3 linked regions of the Drosophila melanogaster genome follow. The protein of the gene in region 1 interacts with the protein of each later gene in a pairwise test. Each region holds a gene or a part of one and is shown in the gene's direction. Other genes may lie near its edges.

What was found.
Region 2: the proteins of spartin (region 1) and CG33144 interact in a two-hybrid assay, tested with the Drosophila melanogaster proteins (one large-scale study listed by BioGRID).
Region 3: the proteins of spartin (region 1) and CG31038 interact in a two-hybrid assay, tested with the Drosophila melanogaster proteins (one large-scale study listed by BioGRID).

What each region holds. Positions count from the first base shown.
Region 1 is NT_033777.3:4,652,752-4,656,506, forward strand, and holds the start of spartin (spartin), read left to right. Parts: upstream 1-2,048; 5' UTR 2,049-2,328; intron 2,329-2,407; exon of another isoform or gene 2,408-2,519; intron 2,520-2,766; 5' UTR 2,767-2,781; coding exon 2,782-3,755. Other genes in the region: Karybeta3 (karyopherin beta 3), read left to right, coding at 1-585, 701-1,338. UniProt on the Drosophila melanogaster protein: During postembryonic development, functions with endocytic adapter Eps-15 in neurons to restrain synaptic growth, by inhibiting BMP signaling, and to control synaptic endocytosis. Required presynaptically for neuromuscular junction (NMJ) neurotransmission.
Region 2 is NT_033778.4:10,796,658-10,800,412, reverse strand, and holds the start of CG33144 (uncharacterized protein), read left to right. Parts: upstream 1-1,703; 5' UTR 1,704-2,073; intron 2,074-3,755.
Region 3 is NT_033777.3:29,874,976-29,878,730, forward strand, and holds the start of CG31038 (uncharacterized protein), read left to right. Parts: upstream 1-2,083; 5' UTR 2,084-2,140; exon of another isoform or gene 2,141-2,951; 5' UTR 2,952-3,396; coding exon 3,397-3,755.

The sequences.
Region 1 (3,755 bases):
AATACGCTGAGGACGTGGTGCGTCAAATGCTGCCCATGCTTAAGTTCTACTTCCACGACGGTGTCCGCACAGCTGCTGCTGAGTCGCTGCCTTACCTTCTCGACTGCGCAAAAATTAAGGGTCCACAGTATCTGGAGGGCATGTGGATGTTCATTTGTCCGGAGCTGCTCAAGGTAATCGTCACGGAACCGGAGCCAGACGTGCAGTCGGAGCTGCTGAATTCGCTGGCAAAATGCATTGAGACATTGGGTCCGAATTGCCTTAACGAGGATGCCATGAAACAAGTTCTCGAGATTATAAACAAGTATGTTCTGGAGCATTTCGAGCGTGCTGACAAGCGTTTGGCGGCTCGCAATGAGGAAGACTACGACGACGGTGTGGAGGAGGAGCTGGCCGAGCAGGACGACACAGATGTTTACATCCTTTCCAAAATCGTGGACATTACACACGCCCTTTTCCAGACCAACAAGGCTCAGTTCTTACCCGCCTTTGAACAGGTGGCTCCGCACTTTGTCAAGCTACTGGAGCCCAGCCGACCTGTAGCTGATCGGCAGTGGGGCTTATGCGTGTTCGATGATCTGATCGGTGAGTTGGTTTTCTTAATTGAGTTTTGCAGTTCAATAGTACCGCCGATACCTTCAAACATCAAATCATTTGTGCCACCATAAAACTAAAGACTTGTATTCTCATTTACCTACAGAATTTTGTGGCCCCGCTTGTGCTCCATACCAGCAGATCTTTACGCCAGCCCTCGTCCAGTACGTGTGCGATAAGGCCCCAGAAGTGCGCCAGGCGGCTGCCTACGGATGCGGGGTGCTCGGCCAATTCGCTGGTGAGCAGTTTGCGCATACATGCGCCCAGATCATTCCACTGCTGGTGCAGGTCATCAACGATCCCAAAGCCCGCGAAATCGAGAACATCAGTCCGACAGAGAATGCGATCTCGGCGTTTGCTAAGATCCTCAAGTACAACAACTCGGCGCTGAGCAACGTGGACGAGCTGATCGGTGTTTGGTTCTCATGGCTGCCGGTGTCCGAGGATTCGGAAGAAGCCGCCCACATCTATGGCTACCTATGCGACTTGATTGAAGGCAACCATCCGGTCATTCTTGGGGCAAACAACGGCAATCTGCCGCGCATTGTCTCCATCATCGCTGAATCCTTCTGCACCAAGGTGGTTGAGGCGCAGTCCGCCACCGGCACTCGTATGCTCACTATCGTCAAACAAGTGGAATCGAATCCGGAGGTAATGGCTGCTTGTGCCAGCACCTTGAGCCCGGAACAGCAGCAGGCGCTGCAGGATGCCTACCGGGAGCTGGCAAACGTGGCTCCCGCCTAAGATATCGCAATCCCAATCCTCTTCAGACCAAGTCCATTCATGTCGACCAAGCCAAGAAAGGAACGATGGATGCTTCAGCTACTCGTTATCATTATTTTTCATCTTACCGAAATTTTGAAGTATATGTTTAACACATAGATATCCATTTATACAGATATACATTTATGTGTACAATAGAGTTATCCGGGTATATAATTCTATACATATTGTGATTTTAATCAAAACTCTTCTCCCGAAGACAAAAGTCTGCCTCGTTAGAATTTGATATGTTGTATGGATGCGATCCAAATGCCATCCCAATCACACCCAAATTCCAATAGAATATTTTCGTTACTCAAATTTTCATATGTTTAATACATATGTGTGTATATACGGCCCTAACGGCCGCCTCTCCCTGCGGGGAAAACAGGATGTAAACGTTGTCCGAATCGAACGAAATATAATTTTGTGCATTCAAACCAGGATCGACAAATATATTTAAAGGAATAACATTTATTGTATTTTAAACATGATAAAAACGAAATAAATAACAAGTAAATCGATATTTTAATTGCCACGAGCTTATGTTTTAGTATTGCTTTTTATTATTAACCATTCATTCAATTTCAAATTCGATTCCCGCAAAAGACTTTTCAAAAGTCGTTGTGGCAACTCTGTCTGTGGCAGTGAACATGCAGAGGCCTCCTAAACAGCTGATCTGATTCGCAATGGAAAGTAAGCAAATCAAAACAAAGATGGAAAAACTTGGAACATTCAACTCGAATGGAAAACACACATTTTAACATGTTATTTACGAATTTAAGTGATATTAGGCAAACGATATTCTCACTTTAAAGGTGTGCGACTAAACAGGAGCAGAAAATAATTCGTAAAATTAGTGAGAAAATAGCGAAAGAGAGCGTTTCTCTGTTTGCTTTCTAAATCATTAGGTGACTTGGTGGGCAAAGTGCAGATTAAACGCTCAGAATCAGACGAAACCAAAACCCAAAGGTGAGTGAGTGCAACAGGTAGACGGTGAGTGCAGCGGAAGGGCGGATGCGGTTTCGTTGGCCACAGTTCAATTTAGAGCAGCTGCAGGAGAAGATGTAAAAGCGCGTCATTCCCACTTTGGTGACGCATTTTGGTCACCCTTTTAGTTGGTCGCGGTTGCCCGCCTCGTCGGGATGTATCTCTGCCAGCAAGTTCGTTTACAATATCTTAAATCTCACGAATATTAACAAAATATGTAGTAATTTGCACTATAAGACTTACACAGAACTTTGCGAAAGGGGGATTCATAAGAATAAAGACAGCACATAGAACATGTATACTAACTAAACCATAAATAACCATAGTCATTGACTTTAATAGATTCTTAGTTCTACATACTAAAGTTTTGAGGGCTTTGGTTTTTTGTATAGTATCTAATGTTTCTGTGCTGTTTCTTAGGTATTAAAGGCCGCGATGGCGGAGGAGGAAAGCGAATTCCTGGAGGCCTATGCTGGCATCAGAACAGCCTACAAAGCGGCCATGACTCAGGTGGACCTGGCCGTAAGTCACGAGGAGCAGGAATCCCCCGGCCAGGCCATTGTGGCCTATGAGCTGGCCCTGCGTATGATAGAGGACACCTTCGGCATTCCAGTAGGTCTTCCCAACAAGATCGACACCGTGCAGGCGGAGTGGAACGACGCCTGTGCGCTGATCCAAAAGCTCAAGAGCGCCGAAACGGAATTGAGATACCGCCTCAAAGTTCTGCGATCCCAGAAACAATCCATTGATGATTCAGCCGTGGAGGCCACGGAGGAAAGTCGAGCAGAGATGGATACAAAAAGGCCGCCGTTGCTGGCGGAAAACCCCTCCACGCAATATGGCATAGCCAATGCTAGCGGAGCACCAAAAACCTACAGAGAGCTCGCTGCCGGCTTGCGGGAGCTCTTGGCTGTTCGGGACGCCAAAGTCTTGCTCGATGAGCTCTTCCGTGCACAGGTCAAAATGTACCGAATCGAAGCCAGTGGATCAGTAACCACCATAAGCGGCTCGTCAACTATGTCATTGGTAATGTGCACCGTGGGTGGCAAATGGAAGTACCTCAGTGGCATCTACTTCATTCAGTGCTCCATGCCAAATGAGGGGACTGCAGGGATTTGGCTTTACCCCCTGGTTCCCTCGATCACAAACTGCTACCAAACAGAGTACGGAGCCTTTATTTTTCCTGATATGGAGTGCCAGCAGCCGGGCAATGCATTTGGTTTGATGCTAACGAAGGAGGGCCAGACATCGCGCACGGAGGACGAACTGGAGGATCTTCAGCAGTTCTTTCTTGACCTGTTGGAGGCCGTACTCGCTGGCACGGTAGTGCAGCTGAAATCGCCGACCTCCCAACGTGCTGGCCTAGCTTCAGATACCGTTTCCGGGTCGGAGCAGGTGTCCAGACACAT
Region 2 (3,755 bases), on another chromosome or scaffold:
TCTTGTATTCAATTTTGTGTGTGGACCCTTATTATTTATATGACTAATATGACTTATTAATTACTATTATGAAACAGTTGATTTATTTTATTTAAAGCCGATGAACGGAATTAGTTTTAGTAAAAGTTCATCATCCTTGAGTAGTTTGTTGAACTAATGAATTCGCAGACTAATTTGGATGGATATCGATTAATGTAAATTCGTCTACAATAAGTAGTAACAATTATAATACGGTACAAAAACAATTATAACCACAGAATCTATTTCCTATCTAATTAACAAGTTAATTGACGAAGCACCTGATGTTTGATATTGGCAAATATTGAGCATATAGTCACTAATTGGTGATCAAGTGAAATGGGCCTGAGGTATAAGTCGTGCACATAAAATATAGATAAACTCCCATTTAGGTGAGTGTGCCAACCAATTTGGAGGTCACAACAACGACCGTCCTAATGCTCGATGATGAGGTACAGTCGAGCCTGTGTATGTCAAACTTAAGCCGTATATGAAAATAGGATTTATGTGTTATTATAAACGAGTCTTCATAAGCCAGTCCATATCGAAGAGTTCAATATTGATGAAAGCCCAATGTCAATTTATAGAAGCTCCACTGTAGCTGCTGTGGGCACTGAGGAAGGGGAACTGACAGTGGGGCAGATGGCGGCCTGTAATATACTCCTGCCTCCATATCCTTGTGCCGCGTGCACTTGACATTGGCTTTCGAATCGGGTCTGTCGCGGCATTCATGCGCGGCGCACTGGCAGGGGGTTGGGGGTTCCGGGGGCGGAAGGTGCAGCTTTGCCCTGGTAATGGCATAATCGACCCCCTTTCTGGCCCCTTTTCGTTGCGGGGGCTGGCCACGTGCCGTTCTCATTCGGCCGTTTCTGGTTTTCCTGTTTTTCCTGCTGCTGCTGCACTTGCAACAGCAGCCAAAAAACCTTGACATTAAGCAGCGTCGTCGACGAGGCACAAAATCCTGCAATTGTGTGGAAATCGTCCTGCAAAAAAGGCGCTGTACTTGAGCTGTCCAAGCCACATATTTGTGCTTCGAAAAAACCGGGTTCCTTTAAATTGACATTATTACCAATTTTTGATTATTTTCACAGGCATAAAGCCAATATTAAAAATAAAAATCATTGCAATAACCCACTTCTAAACTTCAATACCAATATAGTTGGCTAGAAGAAATTACCTGTCTATATTATTACACATATTGATATATGTATATTTCAGATATATTTCTGATGAATACGACCATCTTAGACAATAGCAATTCGTTAAATATTTGATATCTATATCTTGTTCCTATGACAACTCAGATTAATTACTGGACGTATACGTTCATACTTATGCATATGTAAAGTTCGCAATAATCAATCAAAATGTGCTCCTAAATCGTTTGTGCGCCATCAATTAGTCGGCAGTTATTTTCGGTGACCCCGACATACGAGTGAGTGTAATTGAAATACATGGATGTTCGGTTGCCACAATTGCAATTGAATGCTACAGTTGTTGCTGTTGCCCTGACAAAAGCATAATAACAAAAACACAGATGTTCCGTCAGCAGGTTGCATTTCGAAGAGAGCAGCGGGAGAGGGAAACTCTCTCTTCTCGCGTCGTGCGCAGTGCGCAGGACGTGCAGCACGGCAACACTGGCCATGGAAGTGCGACAAATGTGTGCGGTGGAAGTCCGTTTGTTTATTCGCTTGCGGAACGCGTTTCTCGACGGTTGGTTCGGTCGCAAAGCGGAAGTGCTGGCGCAACGTGCAACATCCGGCGGCAAAGCAGCAAAATGCCAACACAATAAAATCAAAAAGGAACCTGTAAACACACACCTCCAAAGATATATAGTTAAATCATAAAAAAAAATTTACAAAATTATAAATATATAAAAAGTATAGCCGAAATTAGTGTGCGCTTGTTGATCAAATCAAGAATTAAAATAGTATATTGAAAATAATCAAAAATTGTCAAGTGCTTTTCGAAAGTATAAATATCTTAATTAAAACCGTGTTAGACCCCCATTTCGAAATCGATTACAAAGGGTCGAAAAGTTTGTGAAACCGATTCGTAAGTGCCCAAAGAAGTAAAACCCCCTCCGCCAACCTTTCACCTTTCTTTGTGTGCCACATTCTCCTTATGTGTGCCGGTGTGAGTGTTTATGTATGTTAATTAAATTACCGTTATGTGTGCTTACCACAGCAACACACTTACACACAAAAACCAGCTCTATCGCAGTAATTATAAAAAAAACAAAAGAAAAACAAGAATAATACAAAAAACAACAATTACAAAGGCCACTGAAAATCCATTTCCCATTTCCTTGGGCTCCCCCCCCCCGCATTTCCTCTCTACTTTCCCCACTCATCATCGCATGTTTTGCCCGCCCTGACACTTGGGGCATATTTCTGTGTTAACTGGGCTGTGCGTGTGTTTATTACTGCGACTACGGCCATTGGCACGTACATCGGACGGAGTACCCTCAATTCGACGCCCATGTCCTTGCCATGTGCCCTCCTCATACACGCCCCTGCTGGGCACTACTCACAGTTATTAAGCGTCTTATGGCAACTCTCAAAGCGGCCCATAAGTATGCTATAGTTTTTGCTATTCTGCTGAAGAGTTAACTCAGGAATACTTGGAGAAAATTGTAGTACATGAATACATTACATGATAAATATATAAAATAAAATATTTTCATAATCTTTTAAATGGGCAACAACAATAAATTCGCATAAAATAAACCACTATGAATTGTAATGTTCAAAATTTCTGTTGTACTGCAATAAAAAAGAGATTTTAGGTTTTAATGTATGGGCAACTTAATTCGGTACTGGCATTAACCTATCAAAGAGTGTGACGTTTCTCTTCGTGTAGGAGCAGCAGGTGCATTTCACTCAGAATTTCAGGTGATAGCAGTGAGCTTCTGACCAGAAATCAATAGAAAATCAAGCTTTACGCTTATGGATCTAGTTGGGGGTTAGTCAGTCGCCTGCTGCAGCCATATACATACGTCGTTATTGCCCTTTGTTACATTTACCATTTGAGCCACTTTTATGTTCGGCCCTTTGCACATCAAATTGATGATAAATTGCAAATTGCGACCATAAAATCCCCAGAGAGTTATTGAAAAATTTCAGCGAAGAGGTCGTAAGGAACCGATGAAAAGGTATAGCATTTCATATTTATGGTATTTCCTGCCAGCATTTCATTTCAATATTAGGAAAGCAATAGGTATAAAAATGCTCGTGTAGATTAATAAATGTTTTGGAGAAAACCTACCTTGAATGCGAGTACTTTTTTAATTGGCATTAATATTATAAAATACATATTTATTCAAAAGAAATTTATTTTTTCTTTGAGCTAAAGAATCGATCAGTGTGACAACTTATTTTACAAGTTGTTTAAGCTTATTAGTTAAGAAAACCCAATTTTATAGTTTGACAAATGACATTGGCCACCAAATTGCGATTTGCTGTACAGTTTTCCAGCCAGTTTCTTGCACTTTCAAATGTTTGATCTATGCAATCCATCGTTGCAGGGCAAGTTAGACTGAAAGCTTTTTGGAGTCATTATCCCGTATTTCAATTAAGGGCGAAAAAAATTCGCGCTCCACACATAGAACACCAAATTGTACGCTGGCGATGGTCTGGCTCAATTAAACGACAGCGAGTCCTTCGCTGGTCGGAGTTGAGAGGACGAATTCAGAGGATTTCCCGGTATAAGGGATACGGGTGGTGACATCTTCAAAT
Region 3 (3,755 bases), about 25 Mb from region 1:
ATTAACCTCTTTGATATGTAATCTAGTTAGAAATGTACTGCTGGCCAACCTGCAAGGGTACGAGCGAATCGGTGGGCCGAATCGAAATAAGTTATTTTATCGCCTAAAGTCTTAACCTAACTAACCTATTATAATTAACTTTTAAATGATATATATTTTGTGTAAAGTAAATATGTGCAACCAGGACGCTAAATGTAACTTTAATTCTACCAACGAAACTTACGTTGGCGGGGGTTTGGTTTTGAAGTGCTTCCGGATTAGAGTACGTCTAAACATTCATTCCTCCAGCCAGGCATGGTATTTAGCAAAGCTTAACCTTCATATTTGGGGCTTCCTGAGGTGCGAGCTGGTTGAAAGTTAAGTAGCTGGCAAAGTAAACAGGCGGTTGTAATTCTATACTGATACTGCAGACATTCGTAAATCTTAGGTATTATAATTCCGGGAAGGGATGACGTATAGATAATTAATGAGGGAGCAAGTGAAATGCAAGACTTGAGTGGAACAGCCTTCGGTTTGAATGGTTTGACTCCCTTTGACTGCCTTTTTGCCGTCCCGCCTGATTTGCATAGTTTGGGGCTGACCGTCTACTCGCTCAATAATGAATGCGTCAGTTTCAAATGGCATTACCCCCGAAAACGAAGTTGATAGTCTGCGACAAGTAGTATGTGCAATGCTATGTGGCACCATAAATAACGTGGCCATTCTAGTGTCGCATTCTGGGTCCTTTTGCTTAGCAATGACAATAGTAAAAGTGCTGAAAGGGAAGCACGATTAGAGCTATTACTTACACTGGCTATGTTTATGTTTTTATATGTACTGTATGCATTCATGGCGCAGCAATTCTGCAAAATTTCTGCATATTTGTTAGGGTGGACCTGAGTTGTACTCATGAGTACTCATACAAATCACTCATACGTAGTGTGGACCTTTTCATTTGATTTTCACAAGGAAAGGCATGTCAGTATCCAAAAGCAATATTAAGTAAAATAAATGTCCTGGTTGGGATCTTACTTTCTCCATAAAAATAAAGTCATGGGATGTTTCCGAAAGAGGAATCGTGTTAGGAATCTATGTTAGCTTGCCTAACAGGTCGTATGAGTAATTTATTAAACGCTTGGCTTTCTTGTTATATCTGATCATTAACTTGTATATAGGCTATGATTCCCCATGAAAGTCCACCCTACGGCACGTACTCCGGTACTTGCACAGGCAATCAATAAAGATTTTTTTTTGGGGAGTTCGGGTGGCGGGTGCTTTGTCGCGATGCGGCAACAACAGCTGTTGCAACGCCAGACGACCCCCCAAAAAAAGGAAAACCGAGCAGCAGCCAGACGCCGGCAACCGGGGAACCTCATCATCGTCATCGTACTCCAGCACCACCCGTTTCAAGAAGCAATCAATGCACTTCTGGCCATGTGCCAAGTTTCTCTTCCGAAAACCTGGAGAGGAGCAGAGAATCGGCCAAAAGAGAGGAGCAGCGGTGTATAAGAGCTGGTTGGGTTCCATTCGGTTGCGGTTGAAAAGCTAAAGTTAATTTAAAGTTCAACCCGTTTGGTTTCTAACTTTTCGGAACTTTAACCGTGTATTTTGGGTTTGGTTTATATAGTTTGGTACAGTAGTAAAAGATACGAAACATTTGCGTTGAAATCAATTTCAAATTGTTGTTTAATTAAGAAGCCAAGTTCCTTATTTACGTAGGTGCTCACAGTGGAATATAAGAAATAATTGTTCCTAAAATAATCCTTTGTACACGAATACAAGAACTTACTCAATAGTTTAAAATGCTTACCTATATTTTTGTAACGAAATATAATTCATTTTACATACAAATAAAAATAAACCGAATTTATTTGCATTCAGCTTGGTAAATAATAGAGTAACTGCGTGACTGCATGCGATGCAAAATTATCTTTGAAGTGCAGACTTTTCGAGTTGTGCCGCGTCACTCGTTTACCCAAGGCACCCACACTGTCGCACTCGCAGACACACACACACACGCATACCAGTGCGGCCGTGTAGCAACAACAATGTTGAGCAAGGTGCGCTGAGCCTCGCTCTTTCGAATCTTTCTCTCCGTTTCGGTTTCAGTTCACTTCTGGCTCTCGTGCAAAGCGCATCGTACAGCGGATATATCGCATCTGTATCGTATCGTAAAACGAATCGTATTCGCATCCGTGTCGGTCGCATCTGCGTGCTAGTGTGTGTGAGTGTGCCCGGGTGTGTGCGAGTTGGTGTGTCCGCTGCAATGGTCTTGGCTATTTGAAGCGCAAAAGTGCAGTATTTACTGTTTGGTGATTCACTCAATCATTAGAATACCCAAGAGATAACTATCATATCTTGGGGTTTTCCCAACGAACCGATCCGATAAAATGGAAACCCTGTAAACTCATGCTCCCCCGCCTTAAAAATCGGTTCAGTGATTTACGTGTGGGTGTGGGTGCAGTGCTTAAATTATACACGTAAAATTTAAACAAATAAAGGCTGTTAAAAAATCGTAAACTCGAGATCCAGCTAGTGCCGAATTCAGTGCTAAAGTGAAACTTCTTTGTGCAAACAACAAAAACCGTTAATTGCCAGCGCCATTCTTTTAAAGGCCCCGACTTATAAAGAGTGTTTTCAGTGCCTATATGGTTTTACTTAAGTCTTTTGTTTATCGTTGTACCCATATTGTTTTCAGTTTATCAATATATAGATAATTATCTAAATGGAGGAGCTTTGTTAATTGATATAACAAGCCTTAAGCGTTAATGTTCCCATCTCATAGGTCCAAGTCAGAAAACCAATCCCCTTTCACTTTAAACAGATCAGAATCCAAGGATTAGGTCGCTTATTCTTTTTCCAAACTAATGAACAATTAAATGGCACGGCGTTGTTGGTCGCAAAGTTTCCATTGCCCGATGCAGAGACCCAAAACCAAAATAAACGGAACCCTTTCACTTTAAAATCCACAGAACCCCAAAGATCGAAAACGAGTTTCGCAAAAGAGCAAAGAGCCGAGCGGCGGCCATGCTTATATTCCATATCGAATAACTGAATAGCCGACCAATAAAGTGTTACTTGGCACATCCAACATCCAACGTTCAACTAGCAATCCAACTTACAATATCCAGCATCCAACTAGCTCCGTTGCATTGGCCTATATTCAAAATAGATCAGAGATCGACTCGAGAGACCGGAGGAGATGTGGATGAGGTGGTGACGAGGAGCTGCGGAGGAGATCGCCATGTGAGAAGAGCAAAACTAGTTTCCCATTTGCGCGCTTATGCTAAGTAATAATAATAAATAAGCGCAGTAGTCTCTGGCTTGCCGTTCGAGAAGTGACCTAAAAATACTGGTTTCGAGTGCGGTTTTGGCGTGAGAACGTGTAGCACAGCGAAGGCACCACCACCACCACCAATGGCCACCACAGCCGCCGGATCAGCAGCCACCACCACCAACACGATGGTGGTGAAGCGGCCAGGACCACCAGTGCCGCCCAGGCCCAAAGCAGCAGCTCAGCTGGCCAATGGAGCAGGAGCCCCTCCGATCATTCAGAAGAAGCCCACCTTCGTGAGCCAGCTGAGTGCAGTGGGTCGTACCTTGGTCTACAAGTCGCCAACGGTCAATCTGCCCAAGAAACAGGCCCAGACCCAGACGCCCACCACGGCGGTGCCAACGCCGCCGGTGAAGCCCCTGAAGCTGCGCAAGGCACCGGATGTGCCCACGGCCAAGCCCAGGGATTCAATGACCTCGGTGGTCACGGTCAACCGGCATAA